2 linked regions of the Drosophila melanogaster genome follow. The protein of the gene in region 2 interacts with the protein of the main gene of each other region in a pairwise test. Each region holds a gene or a part of one and is shown on either strand. Other genes may lie near its edges.

Evidence for each region. Proteins that work in one complex are often made in the same cells at the same time.
Region 1: the proteins of TwdlW (region 2) and E23 interact in a two-hybrid assay, tested with the Drosophila melanogaster proteins (one large-scale study listed by BioGRID).

Annotation. Positions count from the first base shown.
Region 1 is NT_033779.5:3,353,033-3,356,788, reverse strand, and holds the start of E23 (early gene at 23), read left to right. Parts: upstream 1-1,959; 5' UTR 1,960-2,315; exon of another isoform or gene 2,316-2,950; intron 2,951-3,074; 5' UTR 3,075-3,396; coding exon 3,397-3,756.
Region 2 is NT_033777.3:17,140,653-17,144,408, reverse strand, and holds TwdlW (TweedleW), read left to right. Parts: upstream 1-2,004; 5' UTR 2,005-2,096; coding exon 2,097-2,111; intron 2,112-2,182; coding exon 2,183-3,094; 3' UTR 3,095-3,201; downstream 3,202-3,756. Other genes in the region: CG5265 (uncharacterized protein), read right to left, coding at 3,371-3,756.

The DNA.
Region 1 (3,756 bases), on a different chromosome or scaffold from region 2:
ACTGGCTACAATTTTCAACACAGCTGTATATAATACACATACGTGTATATAGTCGACTAAGAAATTAAATTAATAGAAAATTTAGCAAATAACATACAAAATGAAAGACCAAGAAACTATTCACATTCCGACATCGCTTAATAAAATTTGTCTAGAAATTCAATATTTGCCGTACGCTCACACGTACACTTAGAAAAATGGCCCACCATACGCACTAGCACACATCAGAAGAAGAAAAGAGCAAATTAAGGAGAAAAAGAAAGAAAATAAGAATCTTATCAGCGGTAGAACAAAAACAAAGTTCAGTAAAAAAAACGAAACAAAAACAAAAAGAAAGCCACCAGAAGTCGAGAGCAACAACAAATTGGCTGTGTGTTTTTTCAAGGTTAAGAGCAAGTGCGTGTGCGTGAATTGGTGCCACTGTATGGGTGTCTCGCACATTTTGCACATTGTGCGTATAAATAAAAAACAGTAACAACAGTAAAACCACCAACACAGCAACAGGAAAAAATAATTTTTTTTATAGAGAGCCGAGAGCTACGCACCGAAAACGAGAAAAAAACATAGCGGCAACTTGGCGACTTATTCGCTCCAAGTTTATGGCAACACAATAAACTTAATAATTTCGCTGCAAACTGAACAATCATCATTATTTAGGCCTAATATGCAATTGTGCGTTATTTTCCATCTGATTTGGTCAACGACCCAGCGCAGGTGACACATTTTAAGGCTTATAATTGTATTATCGTTCCAAGTTCTAAGTGTAATCTCCTCCTCCCTCGTTTTCCCCTTACCGCCCTCTGGCCACCCACGCACACAATCGTATCCGCGGATTGCACGCACACACGGTTCGTATACGCATTCAAATTGCGTATACGCAGCGGTTACCCTCGAGTTTAATGACTGATAAGATTGGAAAGCGGGCATTTGCCTAACAGCATTAAGAAGAAATTATGAAGCGAATCTTCTAGAGACTTAATTTGTTTTAATTGTACCCTATTAAAGGCTCGCAGACCAACAAATATTTTATTGTCAACTTTAATTTCAAGTACTTAAAAAAAGGTATAGAAAATTTCATTGTTGATCCAACTCCTTGATAAGTACAATATAATTTGTAAAGAAGAAAAATTGCCTTCAAAAGATATCGAAACGTAGGACAGACTCAAAAATTAGTAAAACTTTTTGTTTCGCGAGACACATTAAATCGCCCGAAAACCGCTTGCTACTCCAAAAACGTCTCGAAACTTGTTGAATGACTTCTGGGTTGCCAGCCAAGACCTTAAATTTCTATCACCAAGTTGAAATTCGAGATCAGTCAAACTAAATAACCAACTTTTATTGGTTCGCTTTATTTATCAACGAAGATTACCAAAGTTCGTTGGGAACTGAATATGGATAACAAAATGTTGAGCCCTGTTACTGTTAGGGAACAGCAGGGGAAGTGATCTCGCTGTAAGCCCATAACATTTGTAATGCAATGTACGCAGAGATAACTTAACATTCATGTAATAGAAAGAGAGCAAGGGAGAGAGACTGCACTTAAAAAAATATAACTACTTATTACTATAATTCGTATTAAATAGTGTTTACACAAAAGAAGGCCAGGGATTTTTAATTTTAACGTAATCAATTATTTCTTAACTTACTTTATAAAATTTTAACTTTATCATCTAATTTTTTAATTTTTATCATTTTTCGATACTGCAGAGATATCTCTTACATGCCTTCTGAATGCAAGCCATAATTTGTTTGGTTTTTCATTCCTCGACTTAAAACATACACCTTAGGGCGATTTTTCTCGGTGCAAGCTCCATACGCACGTGTGGTGATCGTAGGCGGCGAGAATGAGTGTGGGGGGAGAGTGCGCGAGAGCGAGAGCGCGAGAGAACGGGAATGAATGAGCGGCGACTTTTGGAGCGCTGGCGCAAGCGTTTAGCTTTAACGGTCCGCGATCAGTTCAGTACGTTCAGATCAACGGGCGCCGTTGGATGTTTTCTTCAATGTTGAAGCGCGCCGAACTCGCGTTGTGTGGAAAAGCGGAATAGCTCTCTGTTTTTCGTCGTGTTTCTACGTTACTTTACTTTTCGTTCGATCTGTCCGTGTTTCGTTTCGGCTTTATAAATCGAGTAATTCCCCATCCAATAATTAACACGCGTGTTATCAAAAATGTTTACAAGAAACCTACATATGTTCAATAAGTAAGCCGAAAAAAAAAGGCAAAGAAATCATTTAAATTGCAAAAAAAGTGCTGACGATTTTTAATATCAAATTCGAAAAAGCAACAAAGAATTTTATTACCTTCCTTCGCTTTTTGGGTGCGTTGTTATTGCAATTACTGCATTTACCTTATATTATATGTTGTTCAAACACACTGAAATCGCTAAAAATGAAAACTGACGTTTTGCTCTGGCGCTTTGTTTCGCGCGGGCTAATTGACAAATATAACAAAATTCGCCAGGCGTCTCCACTTCTCTCTGATTCTCCCCAATTCTCACCGATATTCTGCGATTCCTTTTCATTATCTTTTTCTGTGCCGGTGGCAGTGCATATAGGAAATTGTCGGAAAAGTTCTCAAGCCAAAAAGCTGTGTAGAATCTGAGTTTTTGAGGAGATTCCTCGAAGTCGAGGCAAACATTTTCAAGTTTAAATAAATTATTAAAATTGCAGAACGTTTTTACGAATTAAGTGAAGCCTGAAATGAAGTGAATAGTTTCGGTGAGAGCTGGCGAGCATCTGATTCCAGTGAATAACAGAGATATCGCATGAATAACGCGTGAATAATTAGCACTGCAACTTGAATAAGCAACGAATTCCTAGTAACAATAAATTATAAATTGAATGCAATTCACTGGGATTGTGCAGCAAAAAGCAAACTGCTCATAATAATAAAATCATCACTTTGTTTCCGTGCTTGCCTGACTTTTTACCTTCCGACATCATTGTCGAAAATGTAAATAATTTTGTGTATTCATAATCATGTAATCTCTTAAATCTTAAAATTATATCACAACTTGTTTCACTTGGCTTACATATTAATTATATCTGTACTCTTCTCTGCTCTTACTATATTACAGTCGGCCACAACTCGGGAAAAGAAAAGAAAAAGGAGGCAAGCCAGACAAGCCAGGGAATTATGAAATTTTAAAGAAATCCCCAAAAAAGCCAAGTTCCCAGAGCCGCAAAATATGTTTAATGCATTAAAATAAACGAAACGAAACGAAACGTGTTTAAGGCGAGTGCAGGCAGAAGACGAGCAAAAAGTTGTATACGCATATACACATAGATATATTTAAACAAGATTTACATTTAAAATCCCCCCAATACACACGTACGTATATTTAAAACTGTGGCGGCAACACCAACAACATCCAGCTAAGCGTTCACAAAAAGGTGATAATGATTATTTCCAAGGATCTTTTCATATTTGGCGAACAAATTTTTGCAACAATCATACCAGAAGGTGGAGCCGCGGCGCTGGCAACCCAGCAGCAACATCAGCAGCAGCATCAGCAGCAGCATCAGCAGTCGCATCAGCAGCCGCATCAGCAGTCGCAGCAGCAGCAGCAGCAACAACAGCCGGCAATTATAAATTCAACAACGACGACGGCCACTTCGTTGGTAATAAACTCGACAGCAGGAGCAGCTGAACAAGTTGTAGAGGAGTCATTAAAAGTAGCAGCAGCAGCAGCAGCAGCAACAACAACAACAACAGCCGCAGCAGCAACAACACTACCAGCTAAACAGGAAACAGTTGCA
Region 2 (3,756 bases):
ATGCATTTATTACGACCGGATGGATGGTAGGCATCGATCGCAGGGGCATTTATCGCCCAATCGTTTCGATGTGATGGATTTGGGATACGGATTCGCAGGTGGATGTAGTTTGGGTTCGGATTCGGTTGCTAATGCTATGCATAGGAATGGACAAAGGTAGCCTATGTCAAAATCTCTCATGGTGTGAATTAATAAATTAAAATAAAATAGTTTTGTTACGCAAATCATAATTTGTGTACCGTCAACATTCACTTTTATGCTTTGACTAATCTGCGCACCGAGTGTTTTGCATTCAATAGATTTTGGCAACTTATTCATTTTGCATAAAATATGCAAAGTGCGGCAATAGTTGGCACCCATTAATCATGGTCGCATTTTATTTCCATTTAAAATTGTAATTTTCTCTTGTTGCTACTTTTGAACTAATGCATTTAGATCTATTAATTAATGACAAAGTAATTTTGGTTTCCCATTACAAACAGAAAACAACTTATCGTATATTTCTTTGACAGATCTTTGCATCTTTAATGGCCCAAAAAGGGAACATAGTTTCGGTTCCATTTCACTGTTTTTCATGGCTCACGAAATTGGCGTGAGAAAGTTGAAAACCATTTTTTTTTTTTTTTGGCATCGACCAGAAAACATGTGGGCTAACTCATTATCTGGTGGCCAAGTTGCCCTTGGCTGGTTTATTTTGATTTGTGGGCAGAATTTCACCCGGCTAATGAGATGCACCCTGTCGGATGCACAAGATTTTGAAATATATCTCAGGTGGCAAAGTGGCAAGTGTGTAAGTCCAAATTGGAAAGGAAGCAGCAAAGCTTGCTATCTCCGCTTCGATATTACACCATTTGCACATTCACTCCATTAGTATGGAGACCTGCCAATTAGCCCTATAAGGTCTATATCTGCTTGTATTCCGTATGCATCTGCTTGTTATGACAACTAATTTCCGCTGGAAGCTGGCATATCCATTTGATACGCTGTGCTTTCGATTTGATCGGGGGTTATTTACCTTCACTTTTTTAGTTTGAAATCCAATTCAAATTCAATACTATCATTTTGTCTCAATTTGGCACATTTAAAGCTGACAATATATCGCCCAACACTTACGCCCCATCGAATGGAGACAAAAACCTAGACCTTGGGCCAGACCAAAACTGATGCGAAATACTGAAGTCCCCGGCATATACAATTTTCAATTTCCATTTGATAGCTCAGGTTTCGAACAATAAAACAAAATAGAGACAATGGTCCCGTAGACAAAAGTGCATTTTAAGTCGGTCGAGTAACCTCGTCCGCCTATCTTCGTCATCAATATTTACATATTACTCTGGGACATTCAACTGATCTGCAAAAACTACGAAGCTAAACAAAACTTTTGTATTAATTTAAACGACGATTTGATTGTCCACTTGGCAGCCATGGATATGCTTGGGTATTTTAATTATATTTACAATTAAATGATTAAGTAGTTTCTCAATAAATGTTTTTACTGCCTGTATGAAAAAATCTAAATATAAATCTATAATCAAATTCAATGAATTAATTGCAATATTGAGATTGAAGTTAGTATAGTTACTAGGGATCTGATGAATGAATAGTTATTTGAATTTTGTTTATATTCTGAAATCGTATTAGATACTTGCTTGGAGTGAACGCACACTTAATATATATTATATTTATAAGGCAAATGTTCAAAATGATATAGTTACAGCTCGACTAACTTGTTTACAACAAATGCAGATTTTTTTTTGTCGTATCTGTATCACCCATTGTTGGGGCTTCCTCTCGCTCGACTTTTGTGGAACCCCATGTAAAGTCGATACAAAAGCCCACTTGCCACCCAGCCAAATGAATCCGAACAACCTCTTCGCCACGCATAACAAATGTTTTATGACCCCTCGACTGTTGCAACTGTGTTGGCTGCTGTTTCACGATTTGTTTCCGATTATAAACAAGTTGGGCCCGTGGATTGGTATAAAAGGCCAGGTGCCCGGTTGACCCATCATCACAGCACTAAGAAACTCGGACAGCGAGGGAGCATCCGGCTTAAGACAGCTAACCAGCAGAGAGACACCCACCCAAGCGGCAGCATGAAGATATTTGTGGTGCGTTGGAACTTGGACTACCTCTATGCCAATTGGATTACAAGGGATTATAATGATTGCTTCTCTTTCAGACGGTTCTGATGGGCGCCATGTGCCTGAGCCTCAGCCAGGCTGACATCAGCTTGACCCAGGCGGGTTACAACTACCGCATCCAACAGCAGCAGCAGCAACAGCAACCGCCCATTGTGGCCCACCTGTTGAACCAGCAACTGCAGCAGCAGCAGCAGCTCCAGCCCCAGCAATCCTCGCACCCGGTGCTTCCACCTCTCCCACTGCCCTACCTCCCGCCCGCTGGCCAGTTCCATTCTGCCCAGCCTGCAGTTCGTCCCACAGCCGGATCGTTTCCCATGCCCGCCGGCTTCCCCGTCAATTTCCAGACCGCTCCCATCCAGCAGCAGCGACGCGCTCGTCCGCGTGTCAGGATTCCCAAGCGTCCCATTGTGACCAAAAACTTTTTCATCCACTCGGCGCCCGAGGAGTCTGAGGATGAGGTCCAGGACGAGCTGAACCAGTTGGCCCAGCAGCCCCGTAACCACTACAATGTGCTGTTCGTCAAGACGCCGGCTCAGACCAATCGCGCGGCGGCTCTTAACTTGGCCAAGACCCTTAAGCAGGAGAAGACCGTGGTCTATGTGCTGGCCAAGAAGACGACCGCCTCCGATCTGCAGGATGCCATTGCCGAGGCGCCACAGCACATCAATAAGCCGGAGGTGTTCTTCATCAAGTACCGCACTCCAGAGGAAGCTCTGAATGCCCAGCGGCAGATTCAGTCACAGTACGATACTTTGGGAGGAAGTTCGACCATCACCGACGAGGGTGTGGCCCCCATCACCTCGGTGGTGGGATCCCTGGATCCTCCAGAGGAGGAGGAGGAGGAACAGCAACAGCAGCAACATTCAGAGGGACAATTTGCGGAGAACGGTGCCGGAAACTCTGGCGTCGGTCCCATCGGCAATCATTATTTGCCCGCGAACCAGTTCTAAGTATTCTTCATTGCTCGTCACATCCAGATCTAGTTAGCTGTCATCAACACCACTTAGGTTTAAGTGCTTGCCAATGTTACCCAAATCCGTATTAAAATATAATTGTTAAAAAAAAAACCATTGAATTTTAACTAGATGACGATTTTAAGAAGTGATTAATAGTACTTTAATAAGTCCCACTAAATGGGAATGAATTTAGCTTTCCAAACTGAACGAACGTATTATTGGAATAAGAGGAATTTTTTTGGATCCAAAGTATGTTCTAGGAAAACACATTCAATACTTGCACTTAAGCTCTGGCGGCTTGTCTTTTGAAGCTGGACATGTTTCAAGTACATCCTTCATTTCAGCAAAGGACTGCGCAAGCGCCTTGGCGATCTTTTGGTGATCAGTTGCCTGACAATGTCGCCATGCGGATATGGCCAAAATGATGTCATGTTCACGGGGATTGTAGCAACAGGCATATCCATCTTCTACAGAAGGTCCATATCCCATGAAGGCATCATATTTGGTGGCCACCTGCGAAGTGGACATTCGAAAGTGCGTGGACTTTACATATCCTGGCGAAGAGAAGAACTCCGGAACAGGTAGGCAGTTCTCCACCGCCATTAGTTTAAGTCCAAAGAGGTGACGATCGACACCCTTTCCCAGAAGCGCCAGCT